Linked DNA regions of Pelodiscus sinensis. The protein of the gene in region 2 interacts with the protein of the main gene of each other region in a biochemical or structural test. Links are inferred from orthologs where the notes say so. Each region holds a gene or a part of one and is shown on either strand. Other genes may lie near its edges.

Region 1 (15,137 bases), on a different chromosome or scaffold from region 2:
GGCCGGGACCTTCTTCCCCGACCGCCACATCAGGGTCGGGGACGTGGACATGCCCGTGTGCCTGGTGGGGGATGCCGCCTACCCACTGCAGCCGTGGCTGATGAAGCCCTACACGGGGCACCTCAATCCCTCCCGCCAGGTCTTCAATGCCAGGCTGACCAGGGCCTGCATCGTGGTGGAGGGGGCCTTCGGGCGACTGAAAGCCCGCTTTCGATGCCTCCTCACCCGTCTGGACCTGGCCGAGCACAACGTCCCTCCCGTGGTGGCGGCATGTTGTGTGCTCCACAATTTGTGTGAGCGAAAGGGGGAGGCTTTCCTGCCAGCCTGGATGGCTGAGGCTGACCGCATGGCTGGACACTACGGTCAGCCCCGCACCGCCGCCATCCGGGAAGCCCAGCGGGGGGCCGTCCGGATCCAGGAAGCCCTGCGGGAGAGCTTCCTGGTGGAGGAGGAGGAGGACTGACCTCTCCCTGCATGCCCCACTGGGGCCTTCTTCCACCCTACCCCTCCCTTCCCCTTTCCCCTCCCTATCTACTGTACAATAAAGACACCTGTTTTTGAAACAAAAACGTCTGTTTATTTAACATAACTGGGTGCGGGAAGGGAGGAATGAGGGTGGGAGAGGGGAGGGGGAAACCTGGGACGAGGGAGCTGGAAGGGAAGGGGAGGGAAGGGAGGAAGGGAAAGGAAAGCTCAGGGGTGGGAGTCTGGTTGCCTCTCCCGTCTCGCCACACTGCGGGTCCGGGGACGTCGGTGGGAAATGGTTGTGGGGGGGGGGCAGGAGGGACAGGGGGTGTGGAGGAAGCAGGAGCGGAAGCGGGAGCAGGGGGAGCAGGGGGAACAAGAGGGGGAGCTAGAGGGGGAGCAAAAGGGGGAGCAGGGGGAGGAGGAAATGGGAAGCGGTCCAGCAGGCTCTGGAGGTGGCCTCGCAGGGCACGGCCCTGCTCCTCCAGGGCCTCCAGACTCCTCCGGCGCAGCCTCAGGTCCTCCTGGACCCAGTGGTCCTGGAGACGGAGCTGTCGATCCAGGAACCGGAGATGCCGCCTCTGGTAGTCCTCCTGGTTCCTGGCTGTCCTGCTTGCCCGGGCGCGGGCGGCTGCTGCAGGCGTGGTGGTGTGCCCTGCAGTCCCAGGTGCTGCGGCTGTGGTGCAAGAAGACCAGCGGTCAATTACCCCAGGGGCCCAGGTGTGTGAAACCCAGCTCCCCTCTGCAAGGCCAGGGCCCTTGCAGGATCCCCAGCTGCTGCTCCATGGTGGGCAAGGCCCAGGCGCACGGTCCCGGGGCTCCCTCTCACCCCAGCCCCCCGTACACATAAGAGGAACACGAGGGTACTCACAGGTGGACGCCTCCCCGGCCTCAGACGACGCAGGCGAGCGGCTCTGTGGCGTGCCTCGGGGGTCCTGGGTCCTGGGCAGGCTGGCGGCAGGCTCCTGGCTCTCAGAGCCCTCTTCCTCCTCCTCCGTGTCCAGGAGCGGTCCCTCTGCCCCGGGGTCAATCACGTCCCGGGGGGCAGGGACGGCATGAGGCCCCAGGATGCAGTCCAGGGCATGGAAGTGGGGGCAGGCCTCCGGGTCGGCCCCTGGCAGGCAGGCCCGGGAGTAGGACTGCCGCAAGTCCTTAATTTTGCAGCGGACCTGCTCCCGGCTGCGCTGGTGGCCCCTGGCGGCCAGGCTGGCAGCCATGCGGCCGTAGACGGCCGCGTTCCAGTGGCTAGTGCGGAGATCGTGGACATTGGAGGCTTCCCCCCAAACCTCGATGAGGTCCATGATCTCCGCACTTGACCAGGCGGGCGCCCGCCTTTTGTGCCCCCGGGCAGGCTCCTGGGAGCCGCCAGGCTGGTCCTGGGGAGCAGTGGAGGGCTGGGAGCCCTCGGATGGCTGGCTCATGTTGTGGCAGGTGCAGGCTGTGCAGGCACGGGTGCTGGCAGCCTTGCAACTGGTACAAACTGTGTAGCCAGCCCGTGGCCCTTTAAGGGCTCCGGGGCCGGGAGGGGGGCAATAGAGTTTCCCTGGTGTTGGCCAGAGTGGCCACCAGGGAAACCTGGGAAGCCTTAGCCTCCCACTAGTTCGAATTAAGGGTCTACACAACCCTTAATTCGAACTAGCTAGTTCGAACTAGGCTTAATCCTCGTAAAATGAGGTTTACCTAGTTTGAACTAAGCGCTCCGTTAGTTCGAATTAAGTTCGAACTAACGGAGCGCTAGTGTAGCACCTAGGAAAGTTAGTTCAAACTAACGGACGTTAGTTCGAACTAACTTGTAGTGTAGACATACCCTGTGAGGCTGGCTCCTGGCAATACTGTGAAGCTGGTACCATCTGCCAGTTAAAATTGTATTAAGGCAGATCTGTGTTTTTGTTCTGGCCTTTGGAAGACTGGGTCTGAATTTTACAGCTGTCCCTTCTCTTCCCCCAAATTCAGCAATGTCTGGATTTTGGTTCTAAACTGTCTAGTTCAGCAGTATCCGGTCAGGCAGCAATTCAGCCCCTTCATAAAACTCTGAGCGAGCAATGGTAAGGTCATAGCTTTTCAGGTGGTTCCATCTCTCTAGATTTCTCTCTACCAGATCTTCTTTTTCTCCCTTTTCCTCTTCATCTATTTTTCCCCACAGGGAACCCTCTGTTCCCTCTCTTCTTAATTTTGTCCTCTCTGGAACTGCCTGAGACAAACTGCAGGAAACTTTGTGTTTCCAACATTCCTTGCCTTCCTTCTCCTTTGGAAGACGCATCACCCACATGACTCCATTTTCTATTCAAACCACAGTAGACTAGAGGATTGTTCCATTATCCATATGTCTCCTTTTGCCTGTCTTTTACCTCTCGGCTCTGATTTTCCATTAGCCAACCAATGAAGTGCCTAAGTCTCAATTGCTTGGGATATTTTTTTGTTCTTTTTTCATGGAATATAGGCACAAAAGTGTCTGATGACAGCTGAGTGATGTTGATGACAAGTGTCTGATGTTGATGACAGCTTTGAATGACACCTTAACATCCCTCTTTTGTAGTAGAGGGGGAAACTGAGACACAGGATTCAGTGTCAGAAGAATTCATGGGAGCAGCTTCTTCAACCAAGACTTTCCCTGTATTGATTCAGCTGCTCCATTAGAAAGTATCCCTTGCAGCATTGTTGGTGATATCTTTTTAGTCTGTATTTGCTGGGCGTGCACAATTGCTGCCTCTCCACTGAAGCCACAGACCAATTAACTGTGTTTGCATTAGTTGCTTAGGTACAAGAAACAAGCACTGCTTCTATAACAAGTTACCTATTTGTAGTTATTTATTTGAGAGCTGCTGGCACTTTCATCTGCTGCTGGAGCCTGGACACATGAGTGCAGGTATGAGCTGATTTCATCTCCCTTTCCAGCCTCTCCACCTTTGCGGAATCTTTTCTGGGCTCCTTATATTATGCAAGGAAGCTGCTGTGGCCTGCTTCTCATTTCCTGCATAGGTATCCATTATGCTAACAAGCACATCAGAGGAAAGCATCTCCTTTTGGGACTGTTCCTGGAGGCCAAAATGTGCCAGTAGTACTTAAATCATCTACACAGCCCTTATCCTGAGCTGTGCAAACCATTCCTGTGACTTCACTGGCCTGGCATCAGGGTTTGCAGGATCAGATCCCCAAGTCCTTGTCCCCTACAGCAATGCACCTTAGTTTGCTGTTAACACCTGTGAATGGAGCATGGAAAATGCCACCAGGCCAGAATCCCCCATTCTCTCATGTCCATTTTATGCCCACTTTGCTCAGGTGCCAATTACTACCCAAGGTGCAAAGCAGTGGAGGATCATAGCCCTCCGTCTTGACTTGAGCCCAGCTCCCCTCAAAGTTAAACGGATCTGGCCCCAACATAGCAGTGTTTCAGCACATGCTGGAGTAGAGCTCATGCAAACAGGAAATATGTCTATTTAAGCACCATTATCACTTGCAGGAGGTAGCATGGTCTCCAAAAAATGACATTTTTGGGTGTAAAAAGTACAAAAATAATAAAGCGCTGTAAAACTTAAAACAAAAATTCAGTTTTCTCCAAATTTCAGTTGTGTTGATGTACCCCCCAGACTTCTCTCAAGTACCCCTAAGGGTACTTGTACCACTGGTTGAGAAACACTGCTATAAAACATGCACACAGAGGTAGAGTAGAGATAACACAGGCTGGGACACACTGTTTATTAAAAACAGTCCAACTAGCAATAACCGTGAATATGATTATTGCTTGCATGGTTTCAAGTCTCATGTTGTCAGAGCTTAGCTTAGCCTCCTTCTCCTTGGAGCCCCACATGGCTCCTTTTTGCAGGCAGCGAACATGGGGGACAGACTGCATGCCAGAATTTTCAACAGGCAATCGTGGAACTACAGAGATAGAATTTCTGTTATTGAAACAAAATGGGCGAGCTAATAACTGTTCTTCTACCAGCTGTTGTGTTGTTTTGCCCTGAGGAAGAGCCCAGTGTAAGCTGGAAAGCTTGTCTCTGACCGATGTTGGTCCAAGAAAAGATATTAACTCACACACCTTGTCTCGCTAGTAGCCTGAGGCCAAGAGGACAGCACCATTGCACAGGGAGTTTCTCTTGTTCATCCACAAGGGGGCACTTGGAAGTAAACAGAGCCCTGGCTCTTCCTTACCAGCTTCCCTGTAGGGAAGGTGAGGGAGGGCAGGACAAGTGGAAGGAGGGAGCAGAGGAAAGGAGAAGGTGGAGTGAGTGCTGCCTGGCTGCAGGAGATGGGGAGGGCTGGAAAGGGTGGCCAGAGGGGCCGCAGGAGGTGGGGAGGGCTGGAAAAGGAGGCCAGAGGGGCTGCAGGAGGTGAGGAGGCTGGGGAGGGCTGGAAAGGGTGGCCAGAGGGGCTGCAGGAGGTGGGGAGGATGGGGATGGCTGGAAAGGGGGGCCGGAGGAGAGGCTGGGGCTAGGAGGGTGGTGGGGAGGGGATTGGGAAGAGCCATGCTAGGAAGATCAATACTTTGTACTAGCTTGCATTTGATCATTCCTCCTGGGGGACATTTAAGTGCCACTTGCCAACTTTCATGCTGTCAATGAGCACCCGGGCTTTCACAATAAGCAAAAAGCCAAGCTCATCCTGTTTTAGAAGGCCAAAATAAGCTGATCCGTAAAACAAACCTCAGTGCTCTATCAACAAGGTGTCCTGTGGCACCTAAAAGACTAGACAATTTATTAGGGCAGGAGCCCACAAAAGCTTATGCCCTAATAAATTGGTTAGTCTGGAAAGTGCCACAGGATTAGTTGGTTTTGCTGAAATAGAATAACACGGCTACACCTCTGAAACTTGCCAATGCTCTGTGTGACTGGATCCCTGGTGTGCCGTCTGGGACCGTTGACCCTCACTCTTAAACCTCTTGCCCTCCCTTACTTCCCCCTTTCCCCTGCAAAGAAAGCAACAAGCTGCCAGCAACTTGGAATGCCCTGACAAGTAAAAAAGTAGCCAACGCAGCTCACAACAAGCAAGCTTGGAACTCTTCCCTGTATCCCACCTCTCCCCCACCCCCACTTACAGAGACTGAGAAATGCATCCACCAAGAGTTTGGGACTAGTGGCTGCCCGGGCAGAGCAAGGGAGATGGGTTTGTTTGTCAGAGCTGGGGCTTATTATAGGGTGGGGGGCTGGTTCAGGATAGGTCCCAGGTCTGCCATGGGCACATGGAGGTTGGGGACTGAGCATGATTCCTTCTGCACACATTGGCATTGCCACAGGGCAGGAAAGGGGGGCACTCCAGAGCATGACACCCCCCACCACCAAGGGCTACCATGGGCACAGGAAGGTGCTGGATGGGGCAAGGAGGTAACTGGGAGCCATGTTGGAATTTAACACCAAGTTCTGCCACCCCTCAATGGGCTGTGAGTAGCCCACAAGGCTGGAGGAGGTTAGACAATGGGCAATTGGGGGAGCAGAGAGTGGCCCACAGGGCTCAGGATGGTGAAATGAGGCGCAGGGGGGACTGAGCGGTTCACAGGGGTGGGGTGGGTTAACCTGGTGGGGGGTGGGAGTTATATGAGGTGCAGGAGAGGTTGTGAGTGGCCCAGGGCTGGGAGGGGGATAGATGAGGGGCAGGGAGGCTTTGAGTGGCCCCAGGTGGGGGCTCTGGGAGAGGAATTGAAGGTGCCGTGAGTGCCAGTGGCAGGGGAGGGCACTTAGAAAAGATGTGTGAGTGCTGAGAGTGGCTGAGGAGGGGGCATTAGAGGAAGGATGGAGGGAGGCTGCGAGTGGCCTTGGGCTGGAGCATGGGGGGGAGGGGTGTCTAGACAAGGGGTGGAAGAATTAAGGGAGGGGTATCAGGGCTGTAAGAGGCTCAGGGGGTAAAAGGAATGATGTGGGGGGGGCTGTGAGTAGTTCAGGGAGTGGGGGGTCAGAAGGCGGGAGGGGGGCTGTGAGTAGCCTGGGGGGCAGGTAAGATGAGGAGAGGGGAGCTGTGAGTAGCTGGGGGGGGGGAGGCTGTGAGGAGGAGCTGTCAGCAGCTCAAGGAGGGGGTCAGAGGAGGGGCAAGGGGCTGTGAGGTGCCCCAGGGTTAGAGGAGGGGGGCTGTGAGGGGCTGTGGAGAGATAAGAAGGGGGGCCGTGAGTGGCCTGGGGGTCAGGGGAGGGGCGGGGCAGGGGACTGTGAGGGGCTCTGGGGTCAGAGGAGGGGGGCTGTGAGTGGCCCGGGGGTCAGAGGAGGGGCAGGGCAGGGGGCTGTGACGGGCTTTGGGGTCAGAGGAGGGGGGGCTGTGAGGGGCCCGGGGGTAAGAAGAGGAGGGGCTGTGAGGAGCTCTGGGGTCAGAGGAGGGGAGCGGTGAGGGGCTCTGGGGTCGGGAGGGGCGGTGAGTGGCCTGGGGGTCAGAGGAGGGGGCGGTGAGGGGCTCTGGGGTTGGGGGGGGCGGTGAGGGGCTCTGGGGTCAGAGGAGGGGGGCGGTGAGGGGCTCTGGGGTTGGGGGGGCGGTGAGGGGCTCTGGGGGCGGGGGGGTGGTGAGGGGCTCTGGGGTCAGAGGAGGGGGGCGGTGAGGGGCTCTGGGGGCGGGGGGGCCGGTGAGGGGCTCTGGGGTCAGAGGAGGGGGGCTGTGAGGGGCTCTGGGGCGGGAGGGGCGGTGAGGGGCTCTGGGGGCGGTGGGGCGGTGAGGGGCTCTGGGGTCAGAGGAGGGGGGCTGTGAGGGGCTCTGGGGTTGGGGGGGCGGTGAGGGGCTCTGGGGGCGGGGGGGCAGTGAGGGGCTCTGGGGTCAGAGGAGGGGGGCGGTGAGGGGCTCTGGGGTCAGAGGAGGGGGGCGGTGAGGGGCTCTGGGGTGGGGGGGGCGGTGAGGGGCTCTGGGGTCAGAGGAGGGGGGCGGTGTGTGGCCCGGGGTCGGGGGGCGGGGATGCCGGGGCTCCCCCGGGCGGCAGGGCGCGGCCGCGGCGCAGGGCGGGCCGGTGTATTTAAACCTCCCTCTGTCGCCAGGTCCCGCTCACTCGCTGCAGCTGCCGCCGCCGCCGCCTCGGATCCCCTCGCTGCGCCCCGGGCCATGGCCCCGCCGTGCCTGAGACCCCTGCTGCGGTTCAAGTCCTGCGTCGTGCTCTTCGGCACCCCGCTGCTGCTGCTCGCGCTGCCCCTGCTCATCCCCACCCAGGTACGCGCCTCTGGGGGCTCCTCTCCCTGGGAGGGGGGGCCTGTGTCCGGGGGTCCCGGATCTCTAGGCGCGGGAGGGGGCGCTCCCGCCAAGGTCACTTTTATGTGCTAGCGAAGTCCCGCTTCCTCTGGTTTCCCTGCGGGACTCCCCCCCTCCCAATCCTTCTTAATTGCACCAGCGGTACCAGGGATGCTGGTGTCTCTGCTGTTCTCCTGCCCACTGCTGCTTGCTCCCCCCTGCAGCCAGGCAGCGTAGCGCTGGGGGCTCTCCAGGGGTCGTAGCGAGGCGTGGTCCTTGCCCCTGACCCTCAAGCACCACGGGGCTGGCAGAGGCTTGGAGGATCTGGCCAGGACCACAGCCCGGCTGGAGCTGCATTTCTCAGCGCCCAGCATCCATCGAGGAGAACAACAGGGAGCCCCTTGCACTCCCAACCAGTCCTTCTGGGCAACTCGCTGCAATAGGGTTTGCCAGCTGCAAGTCCCTGGTGATGGCATCCTTTCTCTCCCTAAACCAGGAAGAAGGAGAAGTCCTGTGGCAAGACTAACTGATTTACTGGAGAATAAGCTTTCCTGGGCAAAGACGCACTTAAGTCAGATAAAGGTGCCACAGGACTTCTTGTTTATGCGGATTCAGACTAACACTGCTACCCCTCTGATACTAAACTATGAAGGGTAACCGCATGGACTTCTGCGGAGAAGTCTAGAGAGGGGAATTGTTTCAATAACTCGTAGTTGGCTCAATCAGTGTTGATGGTTTTTAACCCTTTACTACCTGAACTGCAGCACTTTTTTGGATGCCCAGTGTTAGTAATCACTTGCAGGGTAGGATCACTTGCAGGGTAACCCTTAAAAAAGGCATGTATGTCCCAGGCTATACCTTAGGCAGTAAACAGTACAACAGGAGCCCCTGAAGTAGAAAGGATGCAAATACAAACTGGTCATAAGAAATCTCTCAGGGCCAGGATGTGGATCACCCCACAGACGCAAAACTTGCCATTGTTTTAATCTTATAAGTGTTACAGCTTAAGCTATGTCTAGACTGAAAGCCTCTTTCGAAAGAGGCTTTTTTGAAAGATATTTTCGAAAAAGCCTCTATCAAAAAAGAGCATCTAGCCTACAACCAGTACTTTTGAAAAAGCAAGCCGCTTTTTCAAAAGAGAGCACCCACGCAGTCTAGATGGTCTCTTTCGAAAAAGCACAGTTTGCATTACCTAATGCTTTTTTTCAAAAAAGCACTTTCGAAAAAAGGCGTTCTTCCTCGTAAAACAAGGTTTTCTGCGGTCGAAAAAACTGCCGCGTTATTTTGATTTACTTTTGAAAGAATGCGACAGCAATCTAGATGCAGGGGAAGTTTTTTTGAAAAAAGGCCACTTTTTTCGAAAAAATCCTGTAGTCTAGAAACACCCTTAGATACCAAGTTTGTTGGTCCACAAAGACATTGTTTCAAGTTTCAGCCCATGTACATAGGTTTTTGTCAGAAGCATCCTCCTCTCCTGGTTTTAACACTGATTTGCTGTGTTGCTGCCTCCATGCCTCAGTTTTCCCATCTGTAAAACTGGAATAACATGAGCGTGGTATGACATTTGGTATTTGTGAAAAGTTTTGAGATGTTCTCATGCTGAGCTGCATAAATGCACACCATGATTATTACCTATGAGAAGATGAGGTAAAAAGTAAAACATTGTGCCTGATGATTTAGGACGAGGGCACACCAATTGTCCACTGTTGTATTTTGATTTCATTGGAACTATGCCAGTGCAAAGCTGGTGTAAGAACTCCAGGATCAGGCCTTTTATCTTTTCTGTCTGCCACACATGTTTGCACCAAATATTATGGTCTGGCATAGTTTGTAGGACCTGCTCTAAAAATAATGTTACAACTAGTCATTTTTGATTGACCTAAAATGCGTGGTATATTTTAAACTTCAGAAAAACCTCAGGCTTATTTGTCAACAATAAATGCCATCCCTTCTGGTTTACCTGCCTAATAACAGCCCTGCCTTTTGGTCAACTTGACAGTCTCCTGTGAAAGAGAAATGACTGTGAGTTGCACCGAGGTAGGGTGGGAGACTTCATAGATGGGGTTTAACCATTGAAAGCACTAGCTAGATGACAAATATTGTAGGATCGATACAAAAGCTTGTGATAGGGCTGTGATGTACAAGAGTAGCAATGTACAATTTAATAAGAGTCTAGTGAGGTTTTTTGTACCTTTTGAGCATGAGGCATAAACATTGTGTCATTTTTCCAGGAGACTGCAGGATTGCTTAACAGGAATTCCCATCAATGATCACTTTCACAACTGCTCTCTGAGAGGACAGAATGTTATGTTTTCTGCCTCCTGTTCAAAGAAGCAAAATCAACATTGTATAGTTGTTAGTGTTAATCATGACTATTCTCTAACCTTAGTGCTTGTTTTTCAGTTTTTTGAACAGAGCTGTGCTTGAATTGACTATGTCTGTAAGAGTTAATTTATAAGCATTGTTGTCTTTTTGAACTTTAAGTAAATTATTGACTTCATGTTCTAAATAACCAATGTTTGTACTCTACTGTATTGTGCACTCTTTTAGCCTCTCAGAGCTGTTTCTGTTTTTCACAGTGGCCAAATGCAATCACATTATGTAAATTCTAACACTTAGCTATTGCTGCAAGACCTCAGATCACGTTATAAAGACATAGACATTTTAAGTAAGTCTCTTCCCTTGATATCTTTCCTATACTCTAGCTTAAGCAGAATTACAAAGCATGTTCAATAAATAACCCCTCTTAAACTGATGAACATTTCTAATTACTTAAAAATAATATTTTCTATACATATGAAGAGCTTGTCAGCAAAAAATAAGTAATACCCTGCTGCATGTAAGAGTACATCTACATTTGCTCCCTAGTTCGGACTAGGGATGCAAATGCAGACAAGCGAAGTAGCTAATGAAGCCTTACGGCACATTTGAAAATATCATTTTATGGCCTGCTTGTTTTGCCAATAAAAAGAATTCTTAAGACCTTGTAAAACAGAGATGGGCAACCTCGGCTAGTGGTTGGGCCTCATGAGTGGCCCTCCTTCATCTCAGTGAGACGCAAGACGTTCCTAACCAAGATGATGGGGTAGTTTTGCTAACTGCTCTTATGTACCTAGCATTTACAGTGTGTGCTGATTGAAACATAGCGGTACTTTGACTGCATGCAGCGGGAGCACATGGCTCTCACAGTCAATGTTGTGTTCAATTAGCATGCACCTCACTTCATGTGTTCAGTTAGCATGCACCTCACTTCATGTGTTCCGTTAGCATGCACCTCACTTCACTTGCTTTAGGTGTGTGTCACTTTAGTAATACTGGTAGGAAAAAACGGTGTGGAAGGAAACCAGCAGAATCTGACGACTCTGCTCATGGACAAAGGTAAACAAAATGTCTCACGGGCCGCATGTGGAATCTTGATGGTCTGCATGAGGCCCTTGGGCTACAGGTTGCCAACTCCTTCTATAAACTGTTAGTATGAACCAAAGGAAATTGCGAACTATCGAGCATTTACACCTAAGAGCCAAAATAGTGTTTACAGTGAGTTAATGAATACCTACTACCCCTAAGAGGATTCGATTTACAAACCCTAGGATCACTAGGTTATAAAAATCTCAACAACTGTTTCACGGGACATATTTAGGCATTTCTAGTCCAGACAACTCCCGTGTTAAGAAAACATGGTAACTGCAGTGAGGTAGTTTGATGCCCCAACTCAGAAGAAAGATGACACCAAGATTTTCAAGTGTTTGCTAGTGATTTGGGGTACCTCAGTTGTCAAGATTTTTACTTAGTAACCTGATGTTCAGAAAGCCATTATCTGTACTGTGAAAATCAGGCTCCTTTTAAGTGTCTTAAGATGAGTACCCACAAGAGGAGCCATCGAAAATCATGAATTGCTTCTAAACAGCTTGGCTACTAGGCATGGAATCTCCTGCTTGAATCAAATGCCAATTGGCAGCTGAATATTTAGGTTAGCAGTTTCTCTGGGAATTCTGGTTTTCCCGCATACTACACTTTTTAGCCTGAAGCCTTTGTGCATTTACAATGCCCCTAGATTTGCCTATGCATTGTTTTCCGGGCGAGGCTTTAAGCTTTGATATGAATGTTCACTTAGGCTCCTTTCTGAGTAACCGGTTGAGCTGTAAAGATCAAATGTCTCTTTCAGGATTTGGCTTCTTGTAGAGATGGGCCTAGATCCAGTTAACTCCAATGGAGAGTTGCAGGTATTTAATACCACTGAAGTCTGTGGCAAAAATTGACTGACTTCAATGTGGCCAGGATGCCATCTCTGAAGAGTATATTTTTGCCTTTAAAATTTATCAGATTGCACCAGCTGTGTATCAAAGAATAGTTTCTTGGAGAATAAAATAGCTCTCTAGTAGGAGTGTTGTTCTTTCCCTTCTCCTAAGGAACTAGAGAACTGACATTTATATATCCTGGGATATAGAGGGAGATGTGGTGTATTCATCCATACACTCGATTCCCTGTGCTTAAACCTTTGTTGTATTCCAGGAGGCCAAGTGTGCCTATGTTATCATCCTCATGGCAGTTTACTGGTGCACAGAAGTCATCCCTTTGGCTGTCACAGCTCTCCTGCCTGCTATATTGTTTCCTATGTTTGGAATTTTGGAGTCTAAAAAGGTAAGAACTGATTCTAGGTCAGCTTGGATTTAAGCATAAACATCAGAAGCCCAGATTAGACAAGCATACTCCAATGCACCGGTGTGTCTGTGCCTATCATATGTGATGTGTGGCTTTTCATCATGACTGTAACACTGAACAGAATCCCCTGGGTGCTTTGCACTGCTGACCCTAAGTTCTGGTTCAGCTAAGGATCTGATTGGGTTTCATCTCTGCCCTGGTTTTACCAACAAGATTTGAACTGGAGTGAGACTTTAAGGGTCAGATCCTGGCAGCAAGTTTGTAAAATGACATTCTAGCTGTTGTATGCTGTGCTGCTGTGTCGGTCCTAGCATACTGGATAAACAAGGTGGATGAGGCAATCTCTTTTATTGGACAACTTCTGTGTGACTTGAAAGCTTGTCTCGCTCACTATCAGAAGTTGGTCCAATAAAAGAGATTGCCTCACACTCCTTATTATTCTACCTATCAACATTTCCCCATCAATATATACTGGATGTAGGGTGCTTGTTCACTTGCTAGTCTTCATGGTCATGCAGTGTTGCTGTGTGCTATTAATAGTGGCCACTGTGCTGGACCCTAGAGGTGGTTGCACCATGTGGTGAGTGAATGGATTCCTCTGTCTGTAGTTTGTAAAAGTACTTTGGGATCCACTGAGATTAAATGTACCACATACATCTGATGGCTTTCTGCAAATTATTATTATATATATATATTACAATAGCACCCAGAGGCACCTCCCAAATTTAGGGAACCATTGTGTTTAGGGTTGCATGGTGTCCGGTTTTGAACTTTCTGTCCTGGAAACAAATATAAATGTCTGGTATTTTCTAATTAAGTTTTTATTATTATCATGAGTATCAGTACATAGTTGAGTACTACCTGGCTGATAGACACAGTCACACTGCATGAGCGTGTCTACCAGCCAGGCAGTATGCAGCTATGCAGTAGAGAGGACGGGGGCAGCAATACCCGGGGCCAGACTCGCCCATGTGCGCCGCCGGGACCATGCGCGGGATGGACAGCACCCTGGGATCTGCATGCTCCCAGGCCAGCGATGCTCTGCCTCCCCTGTGCCAGCCCTGCTTCCCAGTGGTCAGTTCCCCCCAGCCAGCCCTGCTCCCCCCAACCTCCTCCCAGCCAGCCCTGCTTCCTTCTGGCCAGTTCCCCCTGCTCTGATCTCCTCCAGCCAGCCCCACTCTCCCCAACCCTCTCCCGGCCAGCCCTGCTTCCCGCCGGCTGGTTCTCCCCTCCCCCATCTCCCCCAGCCAACCCGGCCCCCTCTGACCACCTCCCGGCCAGTCTGCCCCCCAATCTGAAATCAAGTGTGATTTTTTTAAACCATCTGGTAACCGAATTGTGTTAGGTGAAGTATAAACACCAGGTAAGTGGTAGTTCTTGATCTGAGCCACTTACATGCTAACCACGCAAGATGCATGAGGAAACCAAAGCACAGAGAGATGAAGTGACTTGCCCAAGGTCACACAGACAGTCCCTGGTAGAACCTAGATCAGAACCCAGGCCTCCTGGGTGGACTGAGTGTGCCATCCTCTGAACACACTGCCTTTTTAGAACAAGCACTACTGCTTTCTGTAAGGAAATGGTTCTTTTCATAGTGGAAAAAGGTGTGTTCCTGGCATCTCACACCTTAACATCCATCACCTCAACCTCTTTCACATACCAACCTCAATCCTCAGCAAAGAAACTTGACAGAGAAATTGTGCAAGCATAGAAAGATATGAAACAAGCTATATGGTGTTTATACAGAAAGGACAGCGAAGTGTGGATTTTATTCTTCCTTAGTAGCTGGTCCAAATAGAGGAGAACAGCCTACTACTGCTGCCACATGTGGAGTTAATGTTTCAGTGGTAGAGGAATGTGCTTTGGTGCTGAAACACCCAACTTCAGATTTCTAAAAGCTAAGGGATCATGTAAAAATTATTGTTGATCAAGGGCTTATGTTTGGGAGGTTTCAGATGCTTGGGATGAGCTTTTTATTGCAGCAGATGTATGTAACATGCTGCCAAAGAGTATGCTGATACTAATAAAAGATAACCGCCTACTACTTTTGCCAGCTAATGGGCTTACTACTTGAACTTGAGTGATACAAGTCTGTGTGTTGATTCTGAGAGTGCAAGGTTCAATCACTGCTGGTGACCTATTAGGGGTAGGATTATGGGGCTGATTTTCAGAGCTGCTTGGCATCTTTGAGAATCAGACAGCATACAAGCAATACTCTGAGCGACTTTACTTCTTATAGTACATGCTGTTGTTTGCTTCTACCGCCCTCAACCAATAGGGGCCCCATTGTAGTAGGTGCTATGCAAACCAGCTAAGAGACAGCCCCTGCCCACAGCAGCACAGCATCTAAATAGGCAAACAGAGGCATGGAACTGAGAAAATGTATAGGACTTGCACCTGAGTATCATGGCTGTTGATATTTGTGGATCAGAGACTGACAGGCAGTACCTCTCATTGCAGGTGTGTATGCAGTACTTGAAGGACACCAACATGCTGTTTGTTGGGGGGCTGATTGTGGCAGTAGCCGTGGAACACTGGAATTTGCACAGACGCATTGCACTGAGGGTCCTGCTGATCGTCGGAGTGAAACCCCCACTGTAAGAGGCCCTGTTAAACCTGCCATCCTATCAATCTGTGATCAGGAACAGCCAAGCTTAGCAGAAGCTTCTTCAGATGCCAGGAGAAATGGGGAAGAGCAGGAGACCTGAGCTGCACAGCACACAGCCTACAAAAGCCTCAGTGGTTTTGCTTGCTCTAGAAAGGGCTTCCAGAGGTTGTGTACACCCGCAGAAATGGGGCAGTGTTTGGAAGGGCAGAAAGGCTGCAAGGGAAGATGCTCATCCTTCAGCTATGTTTGAAGTCAGCGGAAGTCTTTCTGT
Region 2 (16,001 bases):
AGGATGATAAACAAACAGTGGAATCTACAAACCAACTGCTATAGGAAGAAGCTTCATGTTCAGATAAGACTGAAGTAGGAAAAGCCAAATGTTTTGGCCTATGTGGCAAAACAGAACAAGGAGCTATAAACAGAAGCTAAAAGTTAATGAAGCTATAACACTCTTCTGTTAATGGACATTGCATATTGCCTAGCACAGCTCACTCCTTTTTATATATTCCCTTTTGATGCACAAAACTACTGTATCTGCTTTGTACTAAGTCAGTTTTCTAGCTCCTCCTTTCACTATTCCTTGCAACAACAGGATCAAGTGGAAGTAGGTTACTCATCAAGTGACAGACTCTAAAATATACCTCACTGAGTATTATACCAGGGAAGAATAAGAGTGTCAGAGAAATGCAGAGGACAAAGGTACTTTCCTAAATAGAACTTTAGTGATCAAAGTCTAGCTAGTTATGCTGTTCTGGTTAACATATATAACCAGTTTAAACCATAAGCTTCTCTATTAATTCTAATAAGGAAATGGTTTTAAGTGTGGTTTTGTCACCAATGGCACACATCACTTGTGTCATCAAATTAAGGTCAAAGATATTACAAAGGGTGGGATCCACAAAGGTGTTTAGGCACTGAAGTCCCAGTTTTGGCTCTCCTGAAGTACATAAACTACACACCTCTATAGGCACCTACATTTTTCAGAATGAAAGTTCCCCTAACATCTAAGTTTCTGTTTGTGGGCAGGCAGGCAGATGTCCTCTTCTAGGTGTCCAAAACCCATCTCCCACTAAAGCCTCAGACGTGCCCATAATCAAGGAAAAGACAGACCTGCTTTATAACACTTAGCCCTGTGGCTAAAACACTTGCCTGGCATGTGGCAAACCCAGGTGTAACTTCCCCCTTCTGCCAGAGAAGGACAAAGGATTAGCCAGGGCACAGACTTATGGGGTATTCTGATATAGGGCTGCCTCAATCTCTCCTGTTAAAGTTACTGTTATGAGTGATTGGCGCATGGGGACTGGAGCTGGGATCTCCTACCTCACAGGTAGAAGTCCCAACCATTAGATTAGAGGAGTCTCAGTGTGTGTCTCTCTCTCTCTCCCTCCCTCCCTCCCTCCTAGCAGGTGAAGCTTTTTGTTGACTGGGCAAAGTTATTTTGTGTAGATTACACTTTTAGGAAAGATCAAGAAATTAAATACATGTAATAGAAATTTTATTAATATGCTTGCAAAGGGGAAGCAAAATAATATTTTTAAACTGGTAGGATTTCAACTTCAAACATTATTCATTTTTATTGAATAATTATCATACATAGTAAATTTGAATCAGAAATTCATAAAGCTTCCATTACTCTTTCTGAAACTTATTTGAATTATTCTGTGATTTGTAACTGTAAAAATTTTCTTTGCATTAAAGTGACAGTTGAATAGGTAACTTGATTTTAATTTTTTTTATGAACTCTAATCATAATAGTCATGACTTTTTAATAATTATTTTTGTTTATCATCAGAAAAAACAGTGTTGCTCAAAGTGGTCTGCAGACCCACTCTAAGAAAGCTGCTACTGGGCCACAGGCACGGAGTTTCACAGTTCCCCCTTGGCAGCAAACAGCGAACCACAGCCAATGGGAGCGTGACTGCGGAGCTGGTAAGTAAACAAACCAGAATGGCCTGGTAGAATCTCTCTCAAAGTGGGTCTGCAGATCGCTTTGAGAAACACCGATTTACATCCAGCATATTCTGGTGTAAAAAGCACTGCATTCAGCTAATTTAAGTGGCAGGATTGTTTATACAAATTTGGTATCTGTAGGTAATCATGAAGTATGACCTTATTTTGCACAAACAAATCCACAAACAAAAAACTCTTCAAAATATTTAATAGATAGTAGAACATAAGGCCAGAGAGAGAGAGAGAGAGAGAGAGAGAGTGAGAGAGAGAATGAATGACTCAGGTGTTAGTAGGATCTAATCTAACATCAAGGAACAAAAATGAAACCAACCAGAAACAAAAGTGAAACTCATTGAGTTGTTATGCTCTCTCAAGCTACATTAAATACAAAAAGCAGAGCATAAAAATGAGAAACAAAAAAAAGTGCGCGTTATTTAACAGGGAGGGGGCATTTAGTAACGATAATTTTACATGACAATATGTTTTACACGACAATGCCCCTTAAATAGCTTTAAATGATAATTTCCTTAAGGCAAATCTAAGATTAATCTTAATATTTAGATACAGGACTATATTAACTGTAGAAGTTTCACACTATGTGCCATATAACAAAGTAACAAGAGCTGATTAGTGCTTTTTATTTTTATGGCACTTATCACCTGCTGTTACAGTTGTCAATCCTCCAGGATTGCCCTGGAATTGTCAGGAATTAAAGGTTAATCTCTATTAAATATTCTGTCATGTGATGGAACTTCCAGGCATATGTCCAAACTAAAGCAACAATTCTGCCAGGTATCCAATAATTCCTGAACTGCACTGTATACATGAAGGACTAGCAATTCCATTATTTCCCTACCATCAGAAATAAAATTGATTAAAGGATATTGCATACACAATCTTCTTGTGAATTTCACGTCTATAGAAAACACTACCTGTAGACAGCTTTGTCTTAAGATACAAACATAACTTTTAACAGATTATAATATACCTTTATTAGAAAATTATTTCTATTAAGAGACTAGCAGATTGGTTTATTAAGAGAGTTTTCACTATGTTCTGTATTTACAGAACTTATTCCTGAAGAAATAGATGTAACTCAGTACCTACTGCATCATCAGCTTCATGTGAACTGTGTATTTGTACCTGAAATCTACCTATTAATGAAAAAACAGCAGCAACAGGGGAAAGGGTATCATTACCCTATATCATGTGGGGGCAATAATTTTTAATGGGGTGGGAAGTGCGAACTCCAAGAATTTGGTAAGTGATCAAAGGCTGCGCTTTTATTATAGAAGGAAATGTGGAGTCTGAGTCAGAATTTGGATGCAGAAGGGAGTTTGGGGTAGGAGGTTGAGGTGTGAGACAGGGTTATGATATGGGGCAGAAGCTTGGATGCATGGTCTGAGAGGGGGTATGGGTGCAGGAGAGGATTCTGGCCTGGGGAAAGGGTTTAAGAGGGGGTACAATGGCCTGGGAGGGAGTTGTGACCTGGACAGTTGGGGAGAGGGGGCTATAGAGGGTTAAGCTGGTGACCCTATGGCAGGAGGAAGTGGTGGCCTAGGACAGGTAGTTGTGGGGGAAAAAGAGGGGATGGGATGCCAGAGGCAGATTCTGGCTGAGAGGCTCTTACCTAGGTGGCTCCCAAACAGCAGCCCTGCAGAAACTGGAGGCAGGCTGTCTGCTGCTGTCCCAAGCTGGTCAAAACACCTGGATGCTCCATGTGGCTCTACTCCAGCATGGGGAGGGTTCACATGTTGCCCCTGCTCCCAGCAAAATTTCTCAGCTTCTGTTGGCCGAAAACTGGCCAAAGGCAGTTGAGAGATTTTGCTGGGTGATGGACTAGCAGGAGAAGCCTCTATCCTTCCTCACCAGTGTCCAGAGCAGCCAGCCATTTAAAGTGGCATGAGCTGCTCTGTGCCTAAGGGTCCCAGCGAGGCAGCTGAGGGCCAAGTCTGGTGGTTTGGCACTCCAGATCCAGCCTGCAGGCCGCATATTGCCCACCCCTGCCCTATATGCAGTCCGTGCAAATTATTTATCAAAACTAAAGTTCTGATTGTTTATTCCCTAGAAAGCTGATGTGCAAAATAGTGCATTTCCATGTAAGCTGTTTGCCTATTTTAACTATATATGTACTTCCTTTTTTGTTCTTTCATACTTTTTTATTGCAGCCATCACAAGTGGTTTCTGTCATTTCAATTTGCTTTTCCAGGTCCAAATCTCTACTGCCAGGAGAGAGGGAACTGCGGCAGACTCCACAGACTGGCTTAATAGGCTTCAGACATTCCTGCAGGCATGGAGTGCAAAAGCTAATATGGGAGAAATACGATTTGTAAAAATGCATGTTGTAGAATATACGTGTATTGTTCCCATTAAAATAGAGACCTACTCTAAAAGAAAAAAGTCCCAAGTGACAACACCCACTGACAAATAATCTGTTGATACGTGTGTTATACTAAAGGACAGCCAAGTCACTGTAAATCTAGTCAATTTAAAAACAGTTTCAAGTCATGTCCCTGTCCCCGAATGCTCTTACCAATTTGTGGTTTATGCTACATTTCCTCTTTTCAAAGTTTCTCTTCACTGTTTCCAATAGAAAAATCCACACAAACAGCAAAACCCAATGATTACATAGAGAAGCTAACCAAAGTGCTGTCAAACACACAAAATAAACAAACTGAAAAAATATTCTTTTCATTTTTCATTTTTAGTAATCTGAAATATAACCTGTAAAAGTCACCCAACTATTCTCCCTAGATGCATAAAGAGAAAGAAGGGGGCCTTAGCTTGCTCTGCAAAACCCTTTTCTTTAGGCCCCCCCTCCACCCAAGAACTTGAAGGCGATGTACATTGCTCTTTCAATGGTACATTTCACCTGAGAAAAATGTCATGTTAGAAAACATTAACTAGACCATTTTAATGGACTATTGCGACAGCAACATTGTACTGTAGAAAAGGAAAGCAGTGTGATTAACATAAGGCAGGTCTAACCTTAGGGCTTATTTCCTCTTAGAAGCCTCTCCTGTGAATTTTACAGGAAAGGAGGGCATCTTGTCCCAGCAGAGACAGAACTGTACTTAAGTTTCACTTTAGTCACAGCCAAACAGAGAGCTCATTTTGTAAGAAAGCTGTCTACCCCACCCATCTTGTCGGTGTCCCACTCTCAGCCCTTCTATCCACAGCTCAAATCACCCACATTTTATCTAGTGTTTCCATAACACTCACACCACTGCACTGCAGATGAGCCCATATACCTGAAAATAAAAAAGGCCAAGCTTCTTCCTTAGCCCATTCCACACTTCTCCTTCACCAGCACATGCTGCCGTCAATTAAATTGGTTCGCTTTCTATTCCCTCTCTGGTACAGTTTCCCAGAATCGACCGGCTGGGACTCCACCCTTTTCTAGCCATGGGAAATCCCGGCACTCACTGCTATCCATTTGAACAGTCGGATTTTCTACCAGGTGCTCAAAAGTGATCCCTCTAGGGCCCAATCTTTCAGGGCTTGCTCAGGAAAAGCTCCCCCCGCAACGAAATGGCCTGTGGCTTTGAGCCCCAATGGGGCTAACGGGCTCCAGGAGGAGGATTAACAGGTAGCGGGGGAGCGTTTCTCGGGAATCCTACAGCATCAGCAGACCCATTTCTTCGCAAGGGCTCAGGCCCGCTCCCCAGGCTGGGGGGGGGGGGGGTGTGTGGCGGGGGCCCACACGGGAACCGTGCACTAGTGACAACTCCGTCCTGGCGCCTCCAAGTGCCCGCGCCTAGGCCCCACCAGTCGTGCCCCCCGCCCTCTCGCGCGCTCAGAGGGGCCCCCCCCGCCTCAGGGATCCGCCCCAGCCCCGATATCACGGAACCCTCCCGTCCCGCGCTCGGCCCTCCCCGAGGGGTCCGCTCACACATGGCCGCAGGGGGCCCGCATCGGGCTCTCGAACACCTCCAAGCAGACGGGGCAGGTGAAGCGAGACAGCGGGTCCTGGAGCGCCGGGTACCGGGAGCCGCTCTCTACCCCCGCCATCTTCCACCGGCCGCTCGCCCCGCACTTCCGCAAAGCAGCCCGGGCGCCGCGACGGCGGCCCAAAGGGGCTAGTTCTCCGCCACGCCCACTCCGAGTGGGCCACAGGGCGGCGGCCTAATCCGCACGCGCAAGACAGCAACGGCTTCTGGCCACGCCCCCTCGCGGCTCGGACACGCCCCAGGACGGATCGAGTTTCTTCAGCTCCACCCACAGCTGGCCAGGGGCCGTACTGCGCAGGGCAGGTGGGTGGGGCGAGAGCTCGGTAAGGAAATAGGCAGGGAGGAGCCTGAGCAGAGCCAGAGCCACTCAGGATATAGTGGGCAAGTGGAGTGGCCAGGGGACAAAACTGGGCGGGAAGTGACTCAGCTAAGGAACATTTGGGCAGGGAAGTCACCGTGCATGGGCACAGGCAGGCAAGTGCATGGCCAGGCAGGAGAGAAAAGGGCTACAACATGGCATAGATGCAACCAGCCACTGATGGAGTTGCTAAAATTTGCTCCCTCCTTGCCTCTGCCATATATGGAGTGATATGTGCCTTTGGCTACACCTTCCACCTTCAATAATGCAATGTGTGTACAGCTCATGCAGTGTTGATTATAAATTCACTGTCCATTTTGTTCAGCCCCATGGTCCGAGATGTTAAAAATTGCAATTTTCATGATTTCAGCAATTTAAATCTGAAATTTCGTGGTGTTGTAATTGTAGAGGTCTTGGCTCATAAAGGAGTTGGGGGGAGATCACAAAGTTGCGGTGCTACTACGTTTACTTGTGCACTGCTGTTGGCAGTGGCGCTGCCGTTAGCATGGCAGCTACAGTGCTAAGAGCCCAGCTCTGAAAAAGCAGAGCCACCATCAGCAGCAGTGCAGGAGTAAGGATGTCACAAAATGGTGTTGCCACCCTTGGTTCTGCAACACTGCCTGCAGAACTGAAGCCCTCAGTAGTTGCTACTCTCCAGCTTGTCCAGCTCTGAGGGTGGCAGTGCAAGGATGGCATGGTATGAACTGCCACCCTTACTTCTGTGCTGCTGCTGGCGGGGTGCTGCTTTCAGAGTGAGGTGCTCTGAAGGCAGCACAGAAGTAAGGGTGAAAATACCACAACCCTGGTAAAATAACCATACAACTTCTCTCCCACAACTCCCTTTTGAGTCAGAACTCCCAATTGAGAAACACTGCTCTCCCTGGTGAAAACTTTATAGTAGAGGGTAAAAGCAGACAAAAGACCAAATTTCACAGCAGGAGACCAGATTTCACTGTTCATGATACATTTTTCATGGCTGTGAATTTGGTACGTCCCTACTTACTATGGCAGCACTAGGACTTAAGTGGTGCCTTCCCTCCCATGTGACCTTTGGTGGAAAAGTAACTGCAGAGAGGATGGAGCCATGTAGACTCTAGCCAGCAGCCAAAGCAGAGACCTTAGACATTTAACTTCTTTGTTTTGAGTGGCCTTTCTCTGCCTTGTGGAGATTGTCTCCTTGCTGTAATCCTCTCCCTCACAGTCTGTTCACCTCTGCTTTACACCGCCCCTGCCCCCTTATAGGGTTGCCAGATGGTTTCAACAAAAATACCAGACACACTTGACGTTACATCACAATCTACATTACATCTTATTTAGAAAATACTGGACATTTATATTTTCTCAATTTGTTTCCTGAACAGAAAGCTCAAATACTGGACTGTCTGATTCAAAACTAAACACCTGGCAACCCTACCCTCTTACCATCTTCTCCCCGGCCCTGTCGCTCTGCACTTTCCTTTCCATCCGCACTCCACACTCTCCAAAAAAGGTGGCCCTTAAGTGTTTGTTGCCCTCATATTTTTCAACCAACTTGTGTGGTCTACCCCTTCTCCCATCCTGTGTCTGTCTGATCTATTTCCATTGTAAATTCCACACTGCCAGGGACCATTCATTACACTGTATTTATACAGTGCCTTGCCCCATTATTGATTGATCTTTAAATATTACTGTCATATATATGATTAATAATACTAATTAATAATTAGGACTGAGGTACTATATACATGTAAAATTATTATAATTATTATGAGAACACATCTCTGCTGAAACAGCCTGTACTAGAAATGTGTAAATGACACACAAGAGATAGACACTGGAGATGGTTAGAAACTGGGGTTGCACATATAGTCTTTAATTGTATCGGGGTTGCTATATTAAGTGGAGGGAAACGGTGCAGAAGAAGGGGCTTTAGTTTAAATAGTTCACAATATGACTGGTTCAGTGAAAGGAGTTCAGCCCCATCTCTTCATACCATCATCCTGTAATATAGGGAGGTAAACAGATGACAATACACTGGGGATGTAAATTTAAAACAATGCTTTCTCCCGTGGACAGCCAACTGCAGCAGGAGGAGATCAAAGACTGAAACAGAATCTTGACTTTAATACAAGCTAGAAAATACGGACAGAAATATATAGCAATGCTAAAATAGGAATGCTGAGTCTTATGCTTCATAGTTTAAATTCTTCAGTGCAGGACACACCCTGTCATGTCATATACTGACTAAGTTGTGTTATTGGTGAGTTTCATCTTCCTCTGAAATGGCAGGCATTGGGCATTATTTGTCTATCACCTTATGAGTTACAATTTCATCCTGTAAATCCTTTTTCACTGCACAAAAGGGAACATAAGGCTGCTGCACTGCAGTTAAGTGTGAGCAGCAGCTATGTGTGGGTGCAAGTACTAAGCTCTGAGAGCCAGACTGTAAGCCCAGTGAAGTCACTATTTGAACCCAACGGGGTAGGCGGGTGCCAGCCCACCCACTTCTAAAAGCCCCTCCCCCAGCCTTGCAGGAGGGACAACTGGGCCCAGGGCTCAACTAAATACGAGGGACAAATGATGAAAAACAGGGTCAAGTGGTGCGGGTCAAAGGTTTAAAATGAGGGAACCGGATGGGGACACTGCTCCTCAAAGCTGTTTATGGAGCCAGCGGACACTGCCTAGAGGAACTCTGCCTAGATATGTGACACAAGGGTGGAACGGAAGTAGGCCCCACAGTTGCAGAGCACCCCCTCATCCAGCATTCTCCCCCTGGTATTATATATTGCGGCTTTTGCCAGAGCCAGAGGAGGTTGGCAAGGAGGTCTTGTGACTTTGTGGGGCCATGGATGGGGTGCGCATAAATAAAAAGGTGAGGGGAAAAGTGCAGCCAGACCCTCAGCAATAGGTTCTGGAAGAGCTGGAAAAGGGGCTGCAACCTGGTGCATTCCAGATATTCATGCACCAGGTTTCCCCTCACGCCGCAGAAGGGGCAGGCGTCTGGGACGGGGGTGAACTGTGCCAGGTATGCACCCATGCTCATGGCTCCATGGAGGAGCTGCCAGCTGATGTCCTCAATGGGATGTGGGATTAAGGTGGAATAAACACTGGTCCGTCGGGATTCCTTACCTTCAACTGATCTTAAATAATCCTGCCATTTGGTATCGGAGCGGGACACGAGGGTGAGGAAATGCAGTGTGTGGAGCATGAGCGTGTACAGATGGTCTCTGGAAAGGCGGGCCATGAAGGAAAGGCGGGCTGCCAATGAAAAGACACCCATTGACTGGAATGGGCTTTGAATCAAGCCCCAAGTGTAGCCCTGTGGAATGAGCAAGTAATAAGCATCAAGCCGCTTGCATGTCTACCCCATTGCCACAGTGCAGGGTAAAAAGAAGCAATGCTGGGGAAGAATGAGCACATCTGAAGATCTCAAATAGCATCTTTACCACTCTCATGAAATATTTTGTCAAATGACCTTTGAGCTTTAATTTTGCTATTAGGAAGTTACTTGTCAGCCATGCAGAATCACTATCCTTAGTGCAGAACTGGGTTCCCCTGAGTACTCATTACACTTCCATATGCAGCATTTCAGCTGAGAGATACAGGATCAAGTTTTTAAGAAACAGATTGTCTGATCCGGTACAGTAACTCTTTTGTGTTAAGGAGGACTTTTCAGAGGAGTAAAGTTCTGGAAAAGCCTTCAAGGGGAGCAAAAAAACCTAACTGGCTTCAAGACTGAGCTTGATGTTTATGGGGAGAGGGGATGGTACAATGAGACGGTCTACAATGGCATGTAGCTGATCTGCAACTGCAGGAAATATCTCCAATGGCCTGTGATGAGACACGAGATAAGGAGGATTTTGAGTTACTACAGATAATTCTTTCCCATGTGTCTGGCTGGTGGGTGTTGCCTATAGGCTAAGGATCTAACAAGACTGCCATATTTTGGGTCAGGAAGGAATTTCCCCCCAGGTCAGAGTAGCAAAGATGATGGGTTTTTTCTCTTTCTCTACAGCACAGGGCACAGATCACTTGCAAGTTTAAACTAATGTACTGTAAACTCTCTGTAACTTGAAGTCTTTAAATCATGATTTGAGGACTTCAGTAACCCAGTCAGAGGTTGGGATCGATTACAGGAGTGGGTGGGTGAGATTCTGAGGCCTGCAGCATGATGGAGGTCAGATTAAATGATCATGATGGTCCTTCCTAGCCTTAAAGGAGGTGTGAGCAATAAAACAGTGGTGGTTGCCAGGGTTAGCCCTTGGCAGGCTGCTGCTGCTATATCTACCTGCGCCTCCACAGATACCGGCAATCGCACCTCCTGCTGCCCGCGGATGGCCGTTCCCAGCCAGTGGGAGTGGCAGGAAGTGGTGCAGACTAGGACACTGCTTCCTGCAGCTCCCATTGGTTGGGAACAGTAATCTGTGGACAATGGGAGCTGCGATCGCCAGTACCTGTGGAGGCTCAGGTATTTGCCCACCCCTGCCTTAAAATCTATGAGTGACTGAATGGAATAATGATCAATCTTTTCTTTAAAAAAATAAAAAAAGCATCCTTTCCTAACAAGGATGGTGGCAATTTATGTATGGAGCAGTTTGCAGATATTGTCCTAACCCACTGTCCTACTCTGCAGGATTTAAGTAAAACTTTGAATGCTTCACAATTAACTTTTGGTGGGGAGGAAGTTAGAGAGGAGAGTAGTGTGAAATGCAAATCAGGAAGGCAGAAGGAAAAATACAAGAGGAAAACATACTGTATATGTGAAGCCAAATGTTTCCATTCATGTGCCAAGTGCCTTGTCACTTAACTAGCAGAATTAGAAAATCAAAGCTATGGATACACTGCCAGTGACAGAAGGTCTCTGTTCTTTTCTCAGAACTGTGCTCACAACATGCATATTAACTGCACATGCATATCCACGGGTAGGTTTAATCCTGAGTTTAAATTCGGAACCAGCTGCAAAATAAGGACTCATTTGTAAAGGCTTTAATGGGTCAGATTTAAGCCCTTATCATATGGTGCCTGACACTCTGTCTTATAGTTTAGACTTTGCTAACGCTTTGCTTCTGCCTGCAAGTGATACAGGCCTCCTGAAACTGAATTCACTGAGTGCTTTGTCAGATGGAGTCACCTGCCATACATGGAACATAATGCACTGAAGATGCAGAGAAAGAACAACTATGCTTTTGACATTCAGAGTTGGTCTTGGAAAACAATCAGCTTCTAGTCAGCTGTAAAACACATTAGCACTTATCACCAGCAGCCTTAGAACCTAAACATTGTTAGAACAACAAGCCAGGCTTGAGGTAAAATCAGCTCCCTTCAAGCAGAATGTAAAGGAAATGGAGTTTGTTAGTTTCAGACTGATCTTAAGTGGAACAAAAGGTAAATGATCCTGTTACTAAAAACAAACAAATACTTTAAAAAATAGCTAAAGCAACAGAATGTAAGTAACCGTGAGCAGGCAGAATCTGCCTGGTTTTTGACATAGCCTCAAGGATGCAGGTTGTCCACATTTTAATCATTATGTTATTACTAGCATATGATTTGGGTGTTTTCTAGTAACAAACCGTCATGCTATTTTCCTCTTCATTTATCATCATGGCTGTTCTGGCTATATAAGAAATATTGACCTTTTTAGAAAAGGATAATGCTGTTGTTATTCTGTGGCTTTCAAAGCAATTTATAAAATAATTGTCTCATGATTTGTCAATAGATTTCATTGTTGTGAATGAGTAGCCACATTCTGCATTATTTTAAAGGATTTTTTTTTTTGCTGTAATTATGATGTAACACATTTCTCCTCTAGAAAGTGAGGAAATTGAGCTGCTGGAATTGACCTTAATATCTTTCAAATGAGATGTAAGACCAAGGCTGTGACTCTTTCGCACATTTCAAAATCCCATTTAATCCCAAGAATAAGCAGGACTAGTGACCCAATGACCCTGTCAAAGCTTTCCTTCCTCCCACTTTAGTGCAGCATCCTGTTGCCTCCCCACATGTGATTGTTTTTTAGAGGTTCTGCTGGATTGCTATGCGTGTCCCAAGAAATAGTCCATGCTATGTTGCCAACTCTTGTTGTTTTATCACAAATCTTACAATATTTAATGTTTTTTTCCTTAGGCCTCAGTTCCTGTGTTCTTGTAACTGCATGAACATTTCAATTTTCATTTAAAAGCGTGTTTCTAGCTCAAAGTTTTAGAAAAACGTGGAAAATGTGAACCTTTATGAGCTTTTAAGCTCAAAAATAAAAATAAAAATAAATTATGCACGCCCAACTCTTGTTTGCAAGTCTCATGGTTTGGGGTTCTGAATGATGCTGTTTGAATACATCACATTGGTAATGCATTAGAAATTTTGGAATCAGACTGACTAAAGCTCATCCTCTTCTCTGGCTCTCTGTGGAACAAAGGTGATGAAGTAAACACTAAAGCAGGTCAAAACTTGAAAACAGTGTTTTTTCCATTTCTGATCATTTTCTGACAGTTAAATCATTTGCAGGTGGGTGGCCAGGTCAGGATCGGAAACAGCATTTATTTTTCAAGATGGATTCTGTGGGGTGGCAGCTTTGTCCTGTTCCGAGGCATTGGTTGCAAAGGAGTTTATCAGTCACTGAGGCCTGGTGTACACTACACAGTTAGGTTAATGTAAAGCAGCTTACATCAACCTAATTCTGTAAGTTTCTATATTACCATTTTGCTCCCACTGATTTAAATTGTCTACTACACCAACTTAATAATTCTACCTCCATGAAAAGCTCAATTTAGGTAGATATAGATATGATGCAATATCCGTGTAGACACTATGTTGTTTACATCACATTGGCTGTCCATCCCGTGTAGGCTGATAGCTGGAGCGCACCTCCCCTCCCCATTATGGGGCAGAGCAGGGAGCAAGAGTCAAAATGTGAAATAGGAGTCCCCATGTAACTTACAAGAATGTCCTGGAGCTGGGAGCCTAGCAGTACCAAAAATCTCACCTGCAGATGAGGTTTCCAGGGCTGCTGCCACTGTGGTGTGAAGAGTTTGTCAGCCTCCATAATCCTGGCTCCAACTGGGCACTTGCAGGCTGGCTGCAGTATTGAGGGCATCTACCAACTCCAGCTGTGAGCTCCACACCAGACCGATTGCTCTGCCTGCTACCTCTACAGTGGGTGAGTGGGATCTCCAGCTGGCAGTGCTCCCACAATGCCCCACTTTACTCATTGGAAGTACTCCTGGTAGGGATGCACACCACTGACGAAGGAGCATAGTGCGATGTGAAACATCATTTTAATTACAGTTATGGCTGTACATCAGCATAAAGTTGACTTAATTTTATAGGGCAGACAAGCCCTTAGCTAGTGCCAGAAAAGCTGATCCATCTTCTCCCTCACCTAACAAGGCTCTAGCTCTGTGGTGTCCAACCAGTTCTTATAGCAAACTGGTCACACTCGGCCAGTCAAATAGCCACATTGTTCCAGCCAACTAGTCACACTCAACCAGCCAAATAGCCACATGTGGATAGTGTGTTAGACACCGGGGCTCTAGATGAAGTACCTGGGACTCTCATTCAAGCAGGGCTGGTGCAACCAGGCACATCCCAGGACTATCAGCACCTGCTGCCAGAGCTGCCCTGTTGTGAAAAGCCCAGTTTTATCCAGCAGGCCACTTACAGCCTGGGCCCTTGCTGGACAGGAGTAGTCAAGCTACAGGTGGCCTTGCAGGTCTATAGGAAGAGCCCTTATGGTAAGAGGCCAGGTAAAGAAAAAAAAACCTGAGGAAGATACTCTAGCCCTTTAAATCCTTCTCTATGACATCACACGTGAAGTGACGTCCCCAAAGAAGCGCATGCGCAATGACTACGGACCTCAGTAGTACGTCACTTCCTCCGCCTAAACTGATTTGCTGCCCGTGGTGGCTGCCACTGTTTCGCTTTTATTGGAGCCAGGAGCATGCGGTTGCCTCGCTGGGGGGGAAGGGACAAGAGAGAGGGACGGAGGGCTGCCTTACAAGCTACAGCAGTGTTTCCCGAGAGCACCGCGCATGCGCCAAAGCCCTTCCGGGTCCTTGTGCTTCCCCTCTCGCTCCCACAGGGGTCACTTCCGGCTGCTTGAGGGAGGGCGGGGGTCTGTATCCGGGTCACCGGCGGCTTCCTGCAGGCGGGCGGCTGGCCGCGGGGCGCGCTACGGCTTCCCCTCGTTGCGAGCTGTGAGTGGGGAGGCCCCAGCGGGGGAGAGTTCCGGGTGCGGGGTGGGTCCCGCGGGTGCCTCCTGGTCGTAAGCCCTGCGGGTCCTTGTCGGGCCCCTCTCCGCCCGGCTCTCGTGCGCCTGCCGGTGCGGGGTGCCCGGCCTGCCCCGCTGCGGGCCCTGGGTTCGCTTTCCCTGGCTGGGGGAGGTTTGGGTAGCCCCGCCGAGCACAGGTGCGGAAGGGCCAGAGAGATCTCGGGCTCACATTGGCGTCCCCCGGCCCCTGGTAATGTACTCGGAGACTTCCTCCTCTTGGGGGGGGGGGGGCCGCTAGGCTGGGAGGAGATGCCTCTAAGGGTGCAAAATCTCAGCCCAGGGAATGATGCTGGAGCAGGTATGTCCCGTGTTGGGCAGGAGGTCAGACTAGGTGATCCCGGTGGTCCCTTCTGGCCACTGTGTGGCCTATGCAGAGAAGGATGGTCCATTGACTGTCCAATCCACAGCAAGTTTTGCATAGGGTCCTACGGGTGTAGTTACATTGCAGAAACAAATACCTGCCCTCCAGCTGTCTCTGGCCTATGCTGGGGCGCTAATGATAGTCATTTAGCTAGCTGCCCCTGCCGCTCTGAAATCATGGGAGTAGGAGAGAAACTTCAGAGTTTGAGTTCCAGATCAGTTAGGAACATTTGCATTGTTCCTTTTAGTCCCAGTTGACCCAAGCTATGAGGCTTCATGATGTGGTTGGTCAGGGTTGGCTTTTGTTTTCCTTCAGTGTAAATGGACTCTGAAGTTAGAGAGAGGATGGGAGCTCGTGCAGGTAACTGATGGACAGCAGTGATTTATAATAAAGTGTCTTGACTTTGTACCAGACACAGGAAGGTTCTGAGGCTGAATTAGCAGCAAAGTTGACTGACAAGTAGCACTGGAAGAATATTCCAGGAGAATGGTCTCTTTGAAAATGTAGAATTGTCAACATGTTAAAGGCAGTGCCAAGGAGAGAACCTAGCTTTTCTCAAACAGTATACCATGGAAACCAGATTGAGAAGGTTGCCAGGTTAGAGCAAGCTTTCACTGTATTAGGTATGGGTTTAGGCTTTCACTATATTACCTATAGGCTCTCAAACAGATTGAAAAGGGAATACCAGAGTAAGTTATTTTATAGGTTCAGATGAATTTTTTAAAATCTGCATGCTTGATGAGACCCTGGTGTGTGAGCCTCTCTAGCCCAAATTGTTATTCATAGAATCATAGAATCATAGAATAATAGGACTGGAAGGGACCTCGAGAGGTCATCGAGTCCAGCCCCCCGCCCTCAAGGCAGGATCAAGCTCCGTCTACACCATCCCTGACAGATGTCTATCTAACCTGTTCTTAAATATCTCCAGAGAGGGAGATTCCACCACCTCCCTTGGCAATTTATTCCAATATTTGACCACCCTGACAGTTAGGAATTTTTTCCTAATGTCCAATCTAAACCTCCCCTGCTGCACTTTAAGCCCATTACTCCTTGTCCTGTCCTCAGAAACCAAGAGGAACAAATTTTCGCCTTCCTCCTTGTGACACCCTTTTAGATATTTGAAAACCGCTATCATGTCCCCCCTTGGGCATGGAAGATGCCTGTGGGTTTGTGGTAAAATTATTGTGACAGTTCAGCCATATTTCATGTTGAGTTGCTCAGTGTAATAAAAGCTATGTTCTCACTGTCTGGGGCAAGGAATTCCACTTACTCAATAGTTCTTTGAATCAGAACTTTGTATTTTGAATGGTGCTAGCTTGAGTAGTTAATATGGCAAGAAATAGCAGGGGGATTTTCTTCTGCTGGTCTGGGGATTTTTCTTGTCATATGCTTTAGAAACCATTTTGAAGACCAATCTAAGATTGCGTGG

What was found.
Region 1: the proteins of RNF114 (region 2) and XAF1 form a complex in vitro, tested with the Homo sapiens proteins (2 studies listed by BioGRID). The link is inferred for Pelodiscus sinensis from reciprocal best matches to the Homo sapiens genes RNF114 and XAF1.

What each region holds. Positions count from the first base shown.
Region 1 is NC_134731.1:14,575,022-14,590,158, reverse strand, and holds the start of XAF1 (XIAP-associated factor 1), read right to left. Parts: upstream 7,474-15,137; 5' UTR 7,421-7,473; intron 1,683-7,420; coding exon of another isoform or gene 1,337-1,682; intron 1,142-1,336; coding exon of another isoform or gene 528-1,141; intron 1-527. Other genes in the region: uncharacterized protein LOC142819268, read right to left, coding at 528-1,141, 1,337-1,682; Na(+)/citrate cotransporter, read left to right, coding at 7,474-7,578, 12,109-12,237, 14,719-14,855. UniProt on the Homo sapiens protein: Seems to function as a negative regulator of members of the IAP (inhibitor of apoptosis protein) family. Inhibits anti-caspase activity of BIRC4. Induces cleavage and inactivation of BIRC4 independent of caspase activation.
Region 2 is NC_134728.1:19,612,756-19,628,756, forward strand, and holds the start of RNF114 (E3 ubiquitin-protein ligase RNF114), read right to left. Parts: upstream 5,776-16,001; 5' UTR 5,673-5,775; coding exon 5,554-5,672; intron 4,311-5,553; coding exon of another isoform or gene 4,195-4,310; intron 3,968-4,194; coding exon 3,817-3,967; intron 1-3,816. UniProt on the Homo sapiens protein: E3 ubiquitin-protein ligase that promotes the ubiquitination of various substrates. In turn, participates in the regulation of many biological processes including cell cycle, apoptosis, osteoclastogenesis as well as innate or adaptive immunity.